Drosophila melanogaster: one gene and its partner. Changing the gene in region 1 together with any one later gene gives a genetic interaction. Each region holds a gene or a part of one and is shown in the gene's direction. Other genes may lie near its edges.

Region 1 (10,138 bases):
GCCATGCAGTTTGGATACGTTTTTTTTTTCGAAACTGGCTCTGGAGGAGCGGCTTTTGTTATCGAATGCAAAACTATTTAGCCATTGCATGTTGTTAATAATTTTAAAATCAGATTTCCGCAAGTTTGACGCAGACACGAAGGTAGTCGGCACAATCGACTTAGCTGGAGGAGTATTATACATATACATGCCTTTTTTTCTCTCTCTCTCTCGAGATTTTCTGTAGTTTTTTGAGCTGCATGACGTGTCCGTGTCTTGATTGCGGTTTCTGCCCTTAAAAGAGGCAACCGAAAGGGGGCACAAACAGCGCCAACTGCTACTTAAGGAGCCTCATTCAGGAGCGAATCGACGGAAATCGGGGCCAGCGGAGGCCAGCTATAGCTCCTGACAATTGTTGCGCAATTACACAGAAGACCTATGGGCACGCAACTTTTGGACGGTTTTGCGGTCTGCGGCCAGGATTTTGTAACAACTCAAACTTAAACTGAGAGAGCCAAATCGAATGCGAGTTCGGGCAGACGCCTAAGCCCAAATCACGCCTCACCAAACTGCAGCAACCGAAGAACTCAAGTGGCTGCCTCATGTGGCTAATGTTGATGTTGCACGGTGAAAAATTAAGGAATTATAAGGATACTAGTGCAATGTAACTTTTTATGATTTAGCTGAAAGCAAGATTGGAGTATATATTATGCAATAAAACCCTATAGAGCATATAGCTAAATTTTTTTATAATGATATGTAATGTAAACTAATTTTTATAAAATGACAGTTACGTAACTCATTAATGTTTTAATTGCCCAAATGAATGTGTAGTATTTTTTCTATGTGTACTATTGCTACCGCTGCTGATGTTGCCGCTGCTCCCGTTTTTGCTGAAGTTGCTGCTGGTGCCGCTGTCCTCGGGTTCGTCCTCAATCACGCCATCGCCATGCACATGAACTACATTCGTCTTGGAGCGTCTTTGTCTTGGATCCGCTCAGTGTCCGCACTGGCCCCCGAATCCGGCGAGGAGTCCGAGCAGAGCGAATCCCTGTTTGGATGTTTCTGTTTGCTGCGAAATCAATGTTGACGCAAATACGTGTATGTAGAATCATTTTGCCGACAGTTCAGACTTATTTCTTTCGCTACCGAATTTAATTGGATTTTCTCCCTGACTTAAGGGCTTTAACTGCTGTGGTATGTGGAAATCATTTCTGGCCCCAGACACGCAATGTGATCTTCCGCTCTCCCCCCTTAACCCACTCAGTATTCAGCTGGCCAACTGCAAGTTGACTCCAGTCGATGATGCAGTCAGTATTCCCTGCTCGGCGACACTCCCCAAACACCTTGTGCCTCCCCCCTTCCCATCCCATTTCGTGGGGAGCAGTAAAAACTCACTTAATTTAGCAACTGCGAAGAGTTAATCATTACATTCCGCCGGCCGAGTGGTGCGTGCTCGCCGTGATATCGAAGGAGGAGCACATGACTCAGACGCCCGCCGATTTTAGTATCGAAATCTGAGTGACGGAGCTGAGAAATGGATTAAGGGATTATAACGCCATCATAACTAAATCAGAGAATGTTACAAAATAATGAATATTAATCTAAGATTCATATAGTATATTATATAAAGATACCTTTTTTATAAGAGTTAATGACATTCCAAAATCTAATTCGCGGTTACACCAACTTTTAAGAAGAATCAGGAAGTCGTTGCAATTTAACCTACAATGAAGTAGATTTGGTTGCTTTCGCATTACTCAGCGAAATTTTGAGGAACATTTGTATGCAAATGGGAAAAAGCAAATGGAACTAGACAAAAAGCGACACTTTAATCATTCTGAGCAAGCGCTAAACATTTCCGACCAACAAAAACAGAAACTTGAGCATATTTCCGCTGGATTTCGTATCTAGAAAGAAGGTCTTGCGCTGAGAAAAAAAAATGTTTTACTACTGAAGAAACAAATTCTAAGATTTCTTATTCCGAAGTTACCTTCTATTATATTGAGATATTATCAGGGTAAGATGTTTATTCATAGCATTCCGTTGGTATTTAAAAGGCTAAGTTTCAAGCGAGTAAAGATAGCTCAATAATTCAGGCATATATAAAAGATTTTCGTATCTTATGGATTGTAATAGTTTTCTCTTTGTGTGTAGAACCTCCAGCGAAAGGTTTTTCTCTATGAGGAAGCTACAGAGCTGTGCCTAAAAGTTATTTTCTATTTGTTTGTTAACATTACGAAATTCTCTTTCTCTGTTTGGGTTGGAGGAGTGTTCTACCCCAGGGTTTTTCACGGTTCACCAAGCTGACGGCCCACTCCTCCACCACAAACCCCCCTCAAAAAAAGAAAAAAGACTATGACCCCCGCCTTGGTGGAAATCAGCATATGCATATGCCTACATGTGGGTAAACACCACCGCGTCGCTAACCATGGCCACAAAAACTCCGCCCGGCCTGAGCACTTCTTGTCTACATTGTTTGGAATATTTTCAGCCGGACAACGGACATACGGACAAACGGACGGCGGGCAAACGGACAGGCGAGCAAACAAAAACAGGAAGCGTGGCTACCACAAATATGCACGGCACACGGGGCTGGGCTCTTAGTTTTGGGTAACTTTGGGCTGGGATGTAGATACTAGATGGCTATCTGGCTGGAACTTGGCCACTTTGCTGCCGAAATAATGGCGGCCGGCAGGCGTTAGCCAAGGCGGCCATAATTAATGCGCCCATCCCCGAAAAAGTTGCACGAAACGCAATTAGAAGCAGGCACATAGTCGCACACAGTCGAACGCCCTTAAACCGAATTTCCATTTATTATATAAACTATAAATTTAATATAAAACATGATTTTTCAACTAATTTTGAAGGTTTTTTTGAGACAATGCTTTTCTTTTATTTGTTCGTGGTCGAGATTCTTACTACCAAAAACTAGAGATATTATATTAAAGATAGGCTAAATAGATATGATTGAATGAATTACTTTTTTCTTCAAAACAAAATTTAAATGGTTTTACTGTTGTTGAATGAAAATCCTATCTTAACATTAGTATTTATGTTAAACAAGGTAAATGCACTAAATTTATTATACATTTATTAAAAAGTTATTGGGATACTTACTAACTTTTATAATTTGTGCATTAAATTTACAAATATTATCTGATTTAAATTAATAAATTAACAAGGTTGTATTCAAAGAAGTTGGCCTGTAGCAGAAGGCATAATTTGTGTTGTCTTGGAGGGTTAATTTGCGCCCCCTCGGGCGGTTTGTTAGATACAGTGATAAATGTTTAATTAGCCGCGTTATTAATCTAATCAATCATGCAGGCCGAAATCAATCAGAAGGGGGAAGTGGAGGGGCTGGGCAGCGCGAGTTAATTCCGCTGCTTAACATCCGATCAACACTAGGCCCCCTTTCAGCCCCCCCTTCTGACAATCACTGGCACTTTGCCTTTCTTTGAGTTTTCTTAGTGTTCTCCCATTGGGCATAACTAGGTATTCCAGTTACCAAGGGAGCAAGAAAGACAACTCTATAGCTAGTGCGCAGCTGCGCGTCTGCTCTTCAGACACGCCTCTCACTCGCTCTCACTCAGTTGGCCAGCTAACTTGAGTTTGTCTCAAATTATGTAAGGTGAAGGTGAGTCGAGCTCAACGCGATCTCCCTCTCTTTTAATCTGTTTTTTTTCTTTCTTGTCATATATACATATATATGTATATTTTTTAGTGGAAGCAACTTTTGCCTGGTCTTCTATCAACATAAATAAATTAGTACGCCTGCGTTGGCAAAAGTTATGTGCGCTGCGTGCATGGCTGTGCATTTTGAATGGCAAAACTTGTGCCTCTCTATCTCCGTAGAATCATTGTTATTTTGCGCTGCGAAATTATAGGCCATTAAAATTGATTATTTTCCATTATCAGTGTGGGAGGTTGTCCGTTCGCCGCCTCTCTGTCACACCCACTGGAAAAGAAAGGGGGGATAGAGAAGTGCCGCTGCAGTGGGGAGTTGCAATAACAACACCTCTGGCTGTGCAAAAATCATTTCACGTTAAAGGGCCCAAATACACATGCATGCATATGTACATACACAGACTTAAAAGTTGGCGGCCATTATTACACGGCTCCTGATTTCTGTAACTCAGCCAACCAGCGAACAAGTGGGAGTGAGAGGGGAACAGTGGGCGAAATAAATCAATTAGCCGACCCATCTTCACCTCGTGCCGCTCCTGTCACTCCACTGCAATCGCAATGCATATTGCGCTTTCCTTCTCGCTCTGTCTCCTTTGCTGCGCAGCCTTATCTCGCTCTCTTTTTCTCCACCTAGTTAATCGGTTACGTCGCTGCTTACCACCTCCTTGCCACCCAAACTGCACACCCCACTTGGCTAGTAACCACCGCGGTGGTTGGCCAAAATGAGTGGAGTCGCGTCCAACGTGGATTCATTGGTTTCTCGTCCGGCCAAGTCACTAATGTCCGCCAATGTCCCGTGTAATGCGCTTTTTGCTCATCCTCGATTTTGGGGAAGAAACAGAAGAAGAAGGGGTTCAGTGTACGGGAGCCAAGGATATGGGAATCACGCAAAAAAATTTAACATTTCATATTAAATTTAAACGATTTAAAATTATCGGATTTTGGGATAAAGAGAAAACTGTTTTTTGTTATGTATAGTTTGCACACATCACATATAAACGTATTTAAATGCAAACATGATATATTAAATAGTTTACCGCCTACAGCCCTTTGAATGTTTATCTCATGAATTAATCAATACAATAGTCAGAAAACAAATATATATAAAAATTGTAATAACATTAATGGCACATTATTATAGAACTTAATATTACATCTTTATATAGACACAATTTTCCAATTGTATTAAAGGATTAGGCAGCATATCATATAATATCATATCTTATTGTGTTTTATTTACTTTCCCTAAAATCACTCAAGCTGAGTGTTTCTTTCAGTGCTTCCTTTGGTGATCGATGATTGACAGCCGATTCGTGGTGTCGGCATTTCCATATAACAACTTTTCCAACTGGCCAACACCACGTATGTATTACCAAACAAAAACGCCGCTCAATTAAAAGGCCGAAAGCAACTGGTAGCGCAGTTCGGGCCAGAAAGTTTTTGATAAACAATGCACTGAAATCGAATGCCCGAGTAATTAATTATTGAACTTTTACAACTGCTACGCTTTTCTCGGCATATTTTTTTCCACCTCCGATTTTGCCTCTCATTTCCTCAGCAAACTGCTCAATGGGGCGACGCTCAAAGCGAGCACACACACACTAACGCACCCCCCCACACACACACACACACTCAGAGGCGGAAAAAAAAAACACGGCTGAATGCTCAGTGGCAAACCGACCACAAGCACAGGCAAACCAGAATGCAGCAACACAACAGCTATAGCAACCCGATCCAGGTTTTGGCCAAGTAAGATATTGCGCTGCCGGTGGCTCCGAGTTCAGTCTCATTCAGCGAGTCGGCGGGCGTTGAGTTTGAGTGCGAAGTGCGGTGCGCGTCGAGTCAGCGAGCGTTGAGCAGCAGCAGCAGCAGCAGCAGCAACAACACGACGCAACAGCAACATCAGCCGCAACAGAAGCAGCAACAGAAGCAGCAACGTGCAACTTGCAACAGCAACACAAGCGAGCGGTTTCGGTGCGCGTTTTCGAGTGGCGTGCCAAAAAAAAAACAAAAATTTCACAAATAATCCCTTTCAAAAAAACCGTCGGTGAAACACAGAAAGCCCACAAAATGCCGCCTGTTGTTCACTGAGAAAAAAAAAATAGCCAAACACATCAATTGCATTGCTGGCGCTTGAAGATTTTTGGAAGCGTGGCATGGCAACCAGCACCTCACCCGGACCCACAAGGACAACTGCAGCCATTAGAGTCTCCCTGCCAGGAGCAGCACCCGCAATTCCCGCTACCGCCACCGCCGGCTCTCAATCCCCCGGCGCCATCATGCCCATGGCCGCCGTGCCGTTGCCGTCGCATCTCCAACTGCTGGGCAGTTCCGCGGGAGGCGTCGGTCAGCCGGCGGCAATCACGCCCGTTTCGCCCACGGCTGCTACCACAGGTGAGTGCTAAAATAAATAATATTTTACAAGCCTTGTTTGGCACATTTTAATTTATTGTTGATGCGAGTTCGATTGGAACAAAACGCTCCTTTCTAATTTAACAAAAAAACTTTTTAATGACTTTATCGACTTTAATTTGAATTTTAACAGGCTTAAGTTTCAGTAAAAGTATCATATATGAGTTTCTAAAGAAAATGTGCTCATCCAGAAAAGGAGTAGTTAGTTTTATTTAAAAAAAATTTAGTAATATTTTTTGAATGGGAAAACGTATGAAAAATCATAACTGACAGTTTTCAGTTTTCAAAACCAAATACAATTCAGAATTCATCTGAGAAACTTTCTATGCATTCTTTCGTTTACTAATTACATTATATTATATTTATATAATAATATATTGTATTATATTTCTAACAAGTATAAGGATTATAAGGATAATAAGGATTTAAAATATAAACTTTTATTAAAGTCAGCAGCATATAAAATGTATTATCATCCAATTAAATTCTTACAATGCCCAATCCTAAAAATTTTATTTAAATTGTTTTTTTTTTTAATTTGTTCACGTACAGCAAATTATTTTTGTAATTTTTAAATACAGGTTTGTCTTATTATTTTTAGCACCAAAGCTTTAAAAGTAACTTAAATAGCCTTTAAATTCATTGATTTTCCGATTGTTTGATTGTTTTTTTTTTTTATTTTGCACGAGAACTACAAATGTTTTATCTCCACTAACGTTTAAGTTAAGTTCGTTGGTTTCTTAGTTGATTTTACTACTAATGTTGCCCCTTGTGGCACTGCTATTGCTGCACGCTCCATGTGAGCCGCAAGATTCGGGCGAATTCCGTGAACTGACATGGAATCGGGAATCGGGGGCTCGAAACAGTTTAAAACAAAAGCCAACCGGGCACAAGAAACTGGTGGCACTAGTCAAATGCATGCTGGAGCAGTGCAATGATTTGGAAATTTCACAACAGCAACGCAGCAGCAGCAGCAGCAACACGCAGCAAGACACAACTGAGCTGTGGCAACTGTTTTGGTCTTTCGCACATCAGTGGCAATTTGTTTTGCACAAGTATGGGTTGTCAAATAAAATTAGTTCACGTCGGCGGCCATCGAATGTATCTGCAAGATACACACACACATAGTACGAGTATATTCCCCGGATGGAAAAAGCGGGACGCAGCGGACAGCAAAGCTTTGACTTGTCTCTGGAAGGTGTTGGAAGTTGCACAATAAATAAATAATTATAAAAAGAGCCCCGAGAGGTAGAGACTCACTGAAAAAGAGACACCAAAAAGAGGTGAGAAGGGGGGGGGGGAGAATCGAAGGGGGGTGGAAGGTACATGGCATACATTGAAGTTTAAGCATAGGGCAGAAACCATACTTAGGGCTCTCAGGTTACGTGGTGCGTGTATTCACATTATTCTTAGAAAGCCAAGCGTATAAAAGGTGTGCACAATGATTCCGAGGAGTGCCTCAGTTTCGCTGGGGCTCGGTATGGTTTGTATGTAGTTCGGTTTTTGGTATGGTTAGGTTTGGCCATTTCGTATGCACATGGTCCGAACTCCTTGCGTTACTCTCCACTTGCGTTACGTTGGCGAATATGTGTGTCAGCCCAGATGGTGATTCTTCCGGCTAAGGAATCGGGGTCACCATTTCAGGACATTTTGGGCATTGCTAACAATATGCAAAAAGAGTAATATTAGTACTTACTAAAGTGTGCTACCTTTAGAAATAGATATCATAACTTTATTTGGTATAGCTCACAATGTAAAGATCTCCAAACTAAACTCATATCAGTTCTCCTCAATGATTAATTCCCGTACAACATCATTACTTTTTTAATATTCCTATGAATTTTGAAATTTTAAGTGATACGGAACACACCCATATTTTTTCAATCCAATTTAATAGTCCCAAAAGATTTGTCCAAGGCTACGTTTTATCATCGTTGAGATAAACATACAAAATTAGATACACAATTAAAAAGCAATTATGCATCTGTGAAAAGATAAAGGTGTTTTATTTCAATTTGCATTTTTGCACCATACTGGTTAGCCACAATTAATAGCCATGGACCATAAGCCAGAGCCGTACAATGAAATCCAATAAAGGATGGCATAAAATTAGACTGACTTATGTAAGAGCACGTCGCCCCGCCGCAAAATTCTTGGAGCTTAGGAAAATGTGCGAAGATCGCAGTAATGCGCACTGGCAGTAAAAACCAGAAGCTTCGCTTTCCAGAGGACGAGTAATGCGCTGCGCGCGACAAACAAGATCAGCGAGCACTAACTGAAGGGGATTGGGATTGGGATTGGGATGGGTATGTGGTTAGAGGAGATCGGGATGGGGATGCGTCGAGGAGCCACATAAAAAGCGAGCAACTTTAATTTATATGCGCTGGCTGGCTGGATGGATGGTGATGGAGAGGGGTGGAGGGGGGCTGGGGACGAAGCGGCAAAAAGTTACCGGTAGCAATAAATCAAACTATCAATTGAATTCCGAGGCGATCATCACTTGTGGCGAGCTGCGATCCCCAGTTCGAGTTCGAGCTTTAGTCCAACTCCGATCGGCATCGCTTCTTGTTATAAGTCTCACGGTGACGTGCGAACGAATGCACTGAGAAAAATGCATACTGAGTCCAAAGAAAGAGTACGAGTTTGAGGGATCTATTATTAACACTCATTTAAAGGCAGGTATATGTACATATATTTAAATCAGCAATAGCTAGCATTTACATATGTATTGTATATAAACCAATACATAAATAATGTTTGGCCTTTAAATTATTATCTCTCGATTAATTTACTATAATAACAGATTTAATATAAATCAAGACCACATATGTTATTATATATTTATGTATATTTAAAACATATAATATCTTCTATTTCGAATTAAGCGCTCATCTGAATATAAGGCTATACTAGGAAAGCATCTCACTAACATATTAATCCATATAAGGATAAACACCCATTAAAAATGTCAGTGTACAGTATGTAGAAGAAGAGCGAGTGGCTTTGGTTTTGGGCCGTGGTTCCAGCGATTTTAAGCCGCTTTTGCAATTGACTGAGGCGCATCGCAGGGCAGTCGGAGCTGTCGCATTGCGTAGTAAATCATCGGTCGATCCATAGAATCTGGACTGTGACTGCAACACAGGCAACAGGATCCGGGACTGGGGCAATCCGGGGGCAAGCTCACCGCCTGTTGACATCCAAGTTGGCCGGCTGTTGCGGCGGCATAAATCAAGCATGGCCATAACCGCGGCCACAACAATTGGCGCAACATGCGAGTGCAACAAATTGCAGCCGGGCACTTTTAAATGGAGTAAGCTGGTCCAGGTCCAGCTCCCAGCTCCCAGTCCCATCTGCATGGGGTTTAATTAGCCCAGGAGCTGGCGAAGCTGGAGGAGATGCCCCAATCGAAGTGCATACTGGGAAAACGATGGCATGCCGTCGTCGCCACACACGGAGCTCGATCGCACCAAAAAAGAGGTGTTAAAATGTGTGCAGTTCTCGCGATCAGATAAAATGTCAAAATGAACATAAAAGCTTCTACATCCGAGGAATGGCCAATTGCTGCCAGTCCGCTGACAAGCGATCTGCCATCCCATTCCGCAATTCTGCGATTTCGATTGTGATTCCGATACAGAGATACTGAGATCCAGAGATCCAGAGTTCCAGCTCCGAGCTACAAATTGCCAGCGAGAATTTCATAAATTCCGACTGGAATCAACAGTCGGTGTCAGCGGTAATGGACCACACCGCGTCCATTATGCCCATAAACGTTGACACTTCCGCCACTGGACGGAGGCATGGAGGACGGAGCAGCTCCTTCTGGCTCGACTTTGACTTTGACGTCGTCGATCAAAAACACACACCGAAATTTGTCCAGCCATCTCTGTTCGCTGTCCATACCAGCTGCCCCCCAAAATGATTGGAGCCCCAGTCTCTCCAGATGATCGGGCTACAAATTTCTTGGTGTTTCTGTGTCACGCGCGGAATGCCGGCAACAGCTTCGTTTAAATTCCAATTGACGTTTAATGATTTGGCGATCCTGCACCAAGAAAAATTGGGT
Region 2 (10,138 bases), 8.5 Mb from region 1:
TCGAGAGATTTACAGATGAAGCCGTGCTGGGAATGGAAAGCAAGGAAAAAAAAAACCGACCAGAACCAAGTGATATCCATGCCATTTGCCAATCAAACAAATCAAATAGGTAGAGCGGATTCGGTTACAACAGTTTTATAGATCCCATTCCGGGATCTGTTAATTAAAAGATACACACGTACTTTTAGTAGAAAAGTAAAGCAAACAAATCTTCGGGTCTGTACAAATATACTGGATCAATAGCGGCATTCTGTGAGATACATATTCTTGGTTTTACGATGCGCTCACTGTTTCGAGTGTTTGACTGGCTTAAAAGCCAATAAAATTTGCTGTTAATTGTTTTGGTAAATTGAAAATTAGGTTTTGGGAAAAATCATCGCACAAGTATGCATGGAACGAGTTCAGGCTTGAGTTTCGTATCGGCGTTTCCAGTTTTATGTCCGTTGTTTGCCCAGCGCATTAACTTGGCCACTTTTAATGAACTTTGTGAGTGGAACCATCTGCCGCCATACGATCGAGCGGTCATCAGCGGCCTTAGCCCTTCCAAACGAGACAAATCGAATCGCTTTGCCGAAAGCGAGCTGAACTTTAATCGGATTAAATGTAATTTAACTTACTTCTATGACTTTTACCACCATTCCAGCGCTGTGTCGGCAGAAATCGGTTAATTAAAGTTGTACAAAGTTCCAAGCCGATTTCATGCCGCGTTGAATCAACAAATTGTAAACTTTTCCGTACTATCCAACTAACTGGGGGCTGAAGGGTAAGGGAGCAGCACAAGATGGGGGAATCATTTGTACTTACTTAAGTGCTTGATCATGCTGATATCATCACCTGGCAACTTTCCTTTGTGCCCTGCGTACCCACAATGCAATTAGCGGGGTCTGCAGACGCCAGGTGGTCTCCAGTTTCTCGCATCTCCACTCTCATCGCCCGCAATCTTAACCATCGAAAACCATCAGGAATCGGTAAAGAAATAAATACAAGGAATATTACAATATGGGTGCAGCGAAATTGGAGGCGGGTTCGAGTCGAAATCGCTGTGCTCTTCGTTGCGATTCTTACTGTACTGAACATTATAACAATGCGCTCTTCTATGCGATTCTCAAAAGATTTACGTAAACTGTTTAGCAAAATGCATGTCAAAAAAAAAAGGATCTCAATTTGCTTTATGTTTTAAAGTTTCTCGTTATACACTTTCTTATCCAACTCCCTATCAAAACCATCAAACCCTTCATATAGGGCAACACTGACTCAAAAAATCGAGCCGCTGTGTTGACAGTTATTGATCGATGATATTGTAAACACAATGTCGAAATTAATTTTTTATTTTTCTCTCTGTTTTCGGGCTTTTCTCCGGTCTGATCTGTTACCTTCAATTGTACGAACTCATTGTGATGAATTGTAATTGACTTTTATTTTGACTTCAGCGGTTGGTCTTAATGAATCCGCTTAAGCTGCCTCCAGTGCCGTGGAGTTCCCCTTTTTCCTGTTCATTTTCCACGTTCAAAGGGGGGGGGGGGTGAGCTCAACGTTCCAATAAGTGACACTGACTAATTTGGAACCATTAATCTCGGAGCTGCTTAGCGTCAGTCACGCTGGTCGGGCAGCCATCAATACGCATCAAAATCGAATGCGAATAGTGCATGTTTACATGGATGGATGTGCAACACAACAGGAGACACACTTCTAGGTCAGCACGTATAGGTATATATTTTAAATATAACTATTATTTTTGTTACTGTTATTCATGCACATATTCTTAAAATACTACCAGCAGATAAGTGCTATTATTTTGACCGCAATTGTGGCCCAACAGTCTCCATGACGAATGTGTGACCGCTGCGTCTCGCTTGGGTGTCGGTCGTTTGGTGTTCCTACTTTGCCTCCATTTCTAAGCCCAGTGTGCAGTACTAAGAGCCCATTCCGATTTTCATAGAGCCCACCCATTCCCGTTCCCCATTTCCGCGGACATTGAGCCGAGTGCGGTCGTGGACTTGGACGTGGATTTGAATCTGGATGCCGACGTGGACAAGGCGTCCAATCAAGCCGCGTGTCTGGCAGTCAACTAGTCACTCACTTCGGCCACAGAGACTGCGTCGGTCCGTCAGTCAAATACTCGCTTTAATTTCGACCTCCTCGCGATTAGCGAAAGCACCAGGAGAAATATGTTTGGCGATTAAAACGTATGTTCCAAGTAACTAATATTTATAGTTATCATTTTTTATTAACAATTTTTATTTGGCACAATTTTTACGACATGACTTTTATCCTCATTCATCTATTCAATCTAAGTGCAGATTTCCGTTGAAAGGGAAATAATTGCTTTTAAAACAAAAAAGTTATTTAAATGCTGAGCTAATAAAATATTCAGGTTTATTTCGCGGTGTATTGCTGCATGAGTTGCTGGAGCTGCATGACTACCGGGCATAATTCCTGCACCACCGAACGAAATATGGTACCGAAATGAACACATTGCCAGGTTGGCGGTTCTGCGCACGCGCACAGTTGTTGGCCAGGCTTAAAGGCCCCTTCGTTGATGCCCTGAAAGCACTCTCGTTCCTACCCTGCTCCATCCCCATCACCATTCGCATCCTCCGCTCCATCTGCGGCTCGCTTTGGCCTGGCGACACTCGTAACCGCAGGGCGACGGCGCAGCCCGTTTTCGATTAACGATGACCGTGGTTGAGGACCAAGACGAGGACGCGGATGGAGGCAACTTGAGCGTGTGCCAGCCGAGCGAAATTTTATCTGGATGCCCAGCCGATCAGTTGAGAAGCTAGAGCTAGGCTACACTGAAAAAAAGTGATTTCAAATTATTTTTAAAGGTGAAACCATTTCAGAAAACATTTTTGTTGTGCTGCAAGCTGCATGCGAAGTTGTATGGTATTTTCAAAAGTGTTATTGAACAATTATTTTTTAATTTTTATGGAGATCTTAAAATGGTTTGGGATGTGTAAGTCCGAGTTGAGCACTGAGTCCGTGGCAACGCCTTCGGTTTACATTTTACAATCCTAACAAGGTTAGGCCGCCCGATAAACGGAGCTGCACTCGTTTGGTTATAAGGCTAGGTTGTGATCTGGGCTTTTCAGCTGAAGTTGCAGTTGAAGATGCAGTTGAAGTTGCAGCCGAAGTTGGAGGCTGGGGATCGGAACTTGGAACAGGCAGCTTGCAGCTGGAGGTGGCACATGCCTAACCGGCAACCAAGCTGCTATGCAAACACACACACACACACACACTTATACGGAGCGGAATGGTGGCCATGGCTACGAACTGTACATACGGAATTGCACATTAAAAATGAGCAATGGGAGTGGGCGGAATACGGAGGAATGGGAAGTGGGTTCCGAGGGTTTCGTGGCAAGCGGGCGGCTGATTCCAGCCGAGCGATGTCTTTTTCTGTGGCAGAACAAGGTTGGAATGGCCTGCGTCGCCGCTACCACCGTCTCTGCACCGGTAGAAAAATCATACTGACATAATAATAAACTAATAAAAATAATTAAAACACTGTGAAGGCCAATTGATTTTGCTTGCTCATTTGGGTACACACAATGGCCACTTAAGTTAAACAGTTTTAAAGCCCCTGGGTAATTGTCGATGGTTCTAAATTTATGCTAAGCTTTTGTATTTAAAGGGCTCAGTCTTAAATAATCTAAAACATTAAACTATTAAGGGTTGGATAGATTTTTCAGCTGACACAAGGCGATAAAAGTTTACATTTTTATGCTGTTCTCTTACCGAATTAAATACGAATTCACTATTTTCTTGCAGTGCTCCGCCGACTCTGCTTAATGCAATTCAGGCGAAAGGCGCACAAAGGGACAGCGAACAAGATGCCGAGTTGCTGATTGTGCGGGCAGCGCAGTCGACGCGGGCAGAGGTGTCCGCAAAAGCTTTTGTCGCCGCCACAAACATGGAATATGACAAGCTGGTGAGGAGTAGGATGGGATTCGGATTGGGATGGAATGGGATCGAGCTGAATGGGCTGAGAGCAGCAAGAGGAGGAGGAACGGGAAGATACTGCTGGATGGTGCCTGGCATGCAAAGCATTGTCAAGTGGGGAGCAGGCCAAGTGCTACACAAAAACCGAGCGACAAAGAAACGTCGCAGAACGCTGCCGACGCACGTGAGATGTGGATGCATTTGATGCACGGAGCGAGAAAGGGATGTAGAAATTAGTAGTTTGAAATTATTGTAAAAGAATTCTTCTGTTTGTATTTTTTAGTTAAATTAATTACTTATCCATAAATACACTGTCTAACTATTTCTAAGCCACTTAAAGGTATAATATAATCTGAAAAGACCTCTCTATTTGAAATAAAATTTCAATGGTAAATAGAGGAGCGGCTCTTGAATGTTTAAATAAAGTTTAATGCTTGCACTTTTTGTTCCAAGTGCATGATTTAAGAGTGTGTAGGCTTCCCTGTGTGGGCAGGGTAGGGAAGCCAGGCGAAAGAGCGATGGAGAGAGCGAGAGACAATGGCGACAATAAAAATGCGATCGCACAACATGCTCCACAGATAAGTTAACGCAAAGTGACAACGTACAACTTTTAATGGAATTGTCGTCGCCGACGGTGGGCGGTGGGGCGTGGCAGGGTAGTCAGGAGGGGAGTGGGGGTATATATGACATAGCCAAGAAGTCACCGCATTTGGAGCGCTGCCAAGTCAGTTGAACTATGTTTACTTTAAGGATACGGCCGCCACCTGGAAAAGGGACCTTCAAAGGCTGCCTTACACGATTCCGAATCCCCGATTCCGATCAGAAGTGGGCTGAGTGGGGGTCGACACACGAGCACATGAAAATTGCCTTCGGCAGCTACTGTGGCACAAGCTAAAGAGAGAGGATGAGAGCGAGCGCGATCGAAGAGAGAGCGCCAGCTGCTCCCATTGGAGCAGCTAACGTTTCCAATTGGACCAGCTCAAAGGGAATTCTCTCTCTCTCTTTCTCTCTCGCTACTCTCACCGCTTACTGGTCTTTCTGGTTTTTGTTTTGTTTACGATTTTCGCTGGAAGAAGAGAAGAGTAGATCGCGCTACCACAATCAGTTGCTTTTCAAGCTTGCCACAAGCAAGACGTCAGTGCGCGCGTGCTGCGATATCGAAATCGAAATAAACTTAAAAGATATCGTAATTTCAGAAATCGAGCAGAATTCATACGATCCAGGAAAAGAACCAGCTAATATTGGAATATAAAACCTACCCAGTGATCAAATCGGCGGTGCTTCAATGTGCGCGTAGTGGTCCGTAACCGTATGATGAGCCTGACTGTGCTCTCGCCACCGCAACGTTTTAAGCGAATCCTGCAAGCCATGATGTTAGCCGTCGCCGTCGTCTATATGACCCTACTGCTCTACCAGAGCGCCTACGGATATCCGGGCATCCAAGTGAGTTGCGAGTTCGAGTGGGCGACATAATCCAGCTTGCGTGGGTGTTGTTAGCGCTGCGAAACTGTCAAACGTGTGTGCTCCGCACTGATCTGCATAAGTTGCAAAGCTGCAAAGGCCAGGCAATTTGCATTATCCCCCTTTGATTCCGATCCCGATCGACGTCGACTCGTGCACTTTCATAAATCAACGCCGGCGACTTGAGTTTTGCAGCTGCGGCTTTGGCCGTTAAAAAAACCTTTTACGCCCTTGCCTTGCATATAAAACAGTTTCGGTGCTTGGCTTTTTGCGCTTTTATACCCTAATAGGGGGTATCATAATTGAACACAAATTTCGGCGAGGAAGCGTTTTAAAAGGATATACCCTACGATTGGTGATTGGATGGGGATCGGTATCACGGGGAATTCATTTGGAACTAAGGACTTGATTGCTTTAGAAATTGTGCAGAAGTTTATGTAGAGGTAGTGCCTAGCTTAGTGGTTTGTTTCAAAAATGGAAATATGATCCTGAATTTATTTGTTTTTTTTTTTTACAATTAAGCTTATATTTGATTGATTTAAGGACAAGAGAATGTAATTCTGTTAAAGTTGATGTTCAAAGATCGGCTCGCATTATCGAGACATTATTAAAATCCTAAAATCATACCATTAGGCACTTGGAATATATTTTTGAAAATCACCAATACTTTCCAATTCCCACAAGAGTATTCCCAGTTTCGATTACCGAAGATCCAGTCAACCGTTCCTGAATTTCTTGGTTTGCCGTCGGCAGAGCGTCGCCAAAGCTTTCAGTTGCCTGATTCCAGGGCCTGTCAGGGTTCTGAGCCCTGTCTGCTCTGCCCATTTATTATTGTTCTCTTCTTACTCTTGATTTTTGCATAAATTTTTGTGTAATAAAATATTGTGTGCTAATATTACCAAGGTGTGCGCTGCGAGGGGGGATCTCATGGAGGTGAATCTCAATGGACTCGTCCAGTGGAAAACCTTGTCAGTTGCATCACAGATAACAAATAGTTGAGGTCCGTGGGAATGGCCTTAGTTAGCCTCCTATTGCATTGCAAACACTTTTTGGCAGGGTTTTATGCGAACAGGCTATTTTTAGAACCCTTGAAATTCGAACTATGTGTCCACCTTCTAGGATTATCATATTTTAAAAACTTTAAATGAAACGACGCCATAAGAAAATAGTGCACATATTTTTAATCAGTTGCATATACAGATTCCTCAAAGTTTTCTTCCAACATTTCTTTATATAGTTCGATTTTTGTTAAATGAACCCTACTGCTGTAGTTATACCTTCAACTGTTACAGCTCCCTAACTAAGGCTTACAAATTTCATAATATTAGTGATTCGAGCCGCTGGCAATAGAGTTAAGAGCTCATAATTGAATCAGCTGCAGCATCCTCAAAAATATCCATGTAATCCCCTTGCCCTTCACCACCTTCCGGCTTCTCAATTTGCAACTCAATTGCCCAACTTCGAGGCTTCGAGGCGAGTTTGTGGAGGCTCCCCTGTAATGTTTTCGCATGCTGCTGCTAGTGTAATTAAAAACTTTATGTTGTTTTAATTCGGACAATGCTGTTGACGTTGTGGCTCTTCCAGTTGCTCTACTCTTTTTTTTATTTTTGTGTTCTGGGGCTAACCGGAAACTTGGCAGGAATTAGTGCTACACACACATCGCACTACTAAATACTGAGCCGGATAAAAAACTGTCGACAACTGCTGTACTGTTGTTTGTCTTTTCAATTGAAGTTCTGTTCCATCGGAGGTCTGTGACTTGTCCCAGTTTAAAAACTGCATGCCGCGTACAATTTGCTTAATTCTTTTCGTACTTCGTATATGAGTGTTCTCTTTTTGTTCCTAAATGTTGCGCAAAAAGTGCTGCTTGTTGACTTGACATGACTTGGCTTGGCTCGATTCTTCGAACTGTTGAACAGCTAAACAGTCGACTGGACACATACTCGCGCTAAACTGGGCTTGGCATTCGCCTGATAAAGCAATAATTTCGAAATCGGGCGGGGGCGGGGCGGGGGTATTGTCATGGGGGTCTCCATCAGCCCCACAACCCTGCCTATCCAAGATTCCCAGTATCTGATGTCTCATGTCCAGTTGCAGCTCACGTCGCCAGGTCGCCAGGTTGGCATGTCGCGTGTTGCTGACGCATAAATCATAAATGAAACGAAATGAATAATAATCGTCAAACGATTTGCTTGTTTATGAATTTCTTTAAAGTGGCGCGCCAAATGGCCACCAGTCGCTGATTGATTTGAGTAGTTTGTTGTGGCTACACTGTGATCAGCTTACCGATGACACATCGATATGGATAGTAGATTACTTACGTGCATTTATGAACGTGCACAATATAGATTTTTTCTGTAATGACATCTAATTCTTCTTCTAAGATATCCGAATTTATTTTCCAGTATGGACTTTCAAATATTTTTGACGAGTGCATGGTAAATACATAATAACATTAACAAACTCCTAAGCTGAGGAGCATGCAAATCAGCTTGAGGAAAGCAACAGCCACAAGAAGCCTTCGAGGCAGCCCGAGAGACAAAGACCACGATGATGATGATGATGATGATGTGATTCCTGTTTTTGGCCAGGCCAAAAGCAGGTGCTTGCTCTTCACTTCCCATGGCCAACTTAATGCAGCTGGTTGCAGCTACCTTTCCGTGGCCCCTCGATCCACAAAGCCCTCCTTCTGCCCGCCGCTCACGTAATCAGCCCGAAAAAGTTGACGACATTAAGCCGCGGAAGGCGCCTGATAAAAGGAGTAGTATCTGCAGCTGGGCAACCGAGTAAAAGATACCCATATCTGGGTATCTGGGTATCTTTTGGTGGTCGCTTAATTGAGCCTGGATGCTCGGATGCCTGGCTGCTGAGCTGCTGCTGTTGTTGTTGTTGTTGTTGTTGTGTGTATCTTATCTTAGATTCGTATCTTACGGATAATATTGTTAAACAGCATTTAATGAAGATTTTCCCGCTCGCCCAGCTGGAGGCGAACGAACGGTTCTGATTGCATTTTTTCGGGAATGCCTTTGATTTGTTCGATTTCGCTGATTTATGCTTTCCGTTATGGCGACCAGAGTTTAACTCAATTAATCTTCCCAAAGGTCGCCTGAGAGGGGTAGATTCCATTTGGCGCCCTTTCATATTATTCACTCGCACCTCTTCGCTCGATTCTTATGGTTTGCTCGTTATTAATTGACATGGAAATGTTTATAAACATATTAATCACGCGGCTAATGAAGCATTAGTCATTCGAGTGGGCGTAGTGGGGGGCAGCTGTTGCTATTGTGCGGACCGTGTTAAATTTGTTTTGGGATTTTATATCTATTGAATCACCTTTCACCCGGCACTTGTATGTTGTAGGCTGTACATTTGAAGAAAAAATTTGAGTTCTATTAGAAAATACGAAATAAGAATAATGGTGCAAGGGTAGTTTACCAAAAATGTATTCCATATAAAGTGCTTGCTTACATATTAGCCAATTAGCTTTTTTGATGTGTGTGGTTAAAGTGTATTCTTTTCTAAAAGTTTTTACTTCAATTTGGCTTATTGTAGTTGTCAAAATCCGCAGGCGGCCTGCATATATGGGCACACGTGTTTATGTATCTCCAGCTGAATCTGAATCAGAATCCGCAACTGTGAATATGTATCTGTATCGGTGCTTGTTCAGTTTCATCACGTTCGAGTAATTCGCAAATCCCACAAAAGTGTCACAAGGCATTGCTGTTTTCATAGTCCGTAGTCCGTGTACTTGATTTGCATACTTGTACGGTTAAGCCACTTGCATCATGTCGGGGATTGGAAAACTGGCGCACATTCTAATCCGATCCAAACCTTGAATTTACGGAACCCGCTTAATTGAAAGAGGCGTTCTCTGCGTTATATAACCAAGTGGCTTTCACTGTCTTGTCTTTAAGCCGAATCCCTCACTCAAGTCACGACTTTTTTGCTATCTTTCTTGAACAAATCTCCAGTGCGATTTCCCATACTCGCGATTTCTGCGCAGCCAAATTAATATTTCAGCAAATTTAATTGCTTCGGGTTTTGAGTTTCGGTTTCCCATCGGCGTCGAAGGCAGTTTACACCTGCCACCGTTATCGTCTCACTCCCGATTTCCTCATTAGGGAGCTGCCATTATATTGAACACCGTTTGGCTGTCGATCGTGCGGCAATAAAATTCTATGAGCCCAACTTGTGGATGGGCTATCAACGAGACAATATCGTGTGAAGCAATATAATCCAGCGGGTTCCAAAGAGAAATCTCTTCTTTTTTTTTGGCGGGACAAAGCTGGGAAGCCAGAGCTAACGCTTAGATTTATAGCGGAAGTTGCCCTACGATTTGCATAGAGTGTTAGAACTGGGCTGTCTTTCGCCCAAGGTATTTCCCATTCGAGCAGACGAACACTCGACCTTTATCTCCGGCTCAATCGAGGCGAAACTCCACGCCCCACCTGTCCCCATTTTCGTGGAGGGCCATTAAAACGAGCAATGGGGGAAAATCTCAAAGAAGAGCAATTGAAGAATCGCCGACAACAAAAGCAAATGAACCTGTTATCAGTGGAAATTAATCAAGCAGTTCACTCCGACTCAAAGCAATCTCAGTGGGTTTCTGGTCTTCCTCTAACCATCCCTATTCCGATCCCGATCCCAATCCCGATCCCCGGTTACAATCCCAATTCCAATACCAATCCCGATCCCAGTTTGTTTGCTCTTACTCAGCATTTATGGTGGTGGTGTT

The links.
Region 2: of toe (region 1) and fng, changing one suppresses a phenotype caused by changing the other (phenotypic suppression), as found in Drosophila melanogaster (one study listed by BioGRID).

What each region holds. Positions count from the first base shown.
Region 1 is NT_037436.4:12,427,998-12,438,135, reverse strand, and holds the start of toe (twin of eyg), read left to right. Parts: upstream 1-5,467; 5' UTR 5,468-5,822; coding exon 5,823-6,060; intron 6,061-10,138.
Region 2 is NT_037436.4:20,944,417-20,954,554, reverse strand, and holds the start of fng (fringe), read left to right. Parts: upstream 1-5,042; 5' UTR 5,043-5,253; coding exon 5,254-5,385; intron 5,386-10,138. UniProt on the Drosophila melanogaster protein: Glycosyltransferase involved in the elongation of O-linked ligands to activate Notch signaling. Possesses fucose-specific beta-1,3-N-acetylglucosaminyltransferase activity; extends the O-linked fucose on the Notch EGF repeats.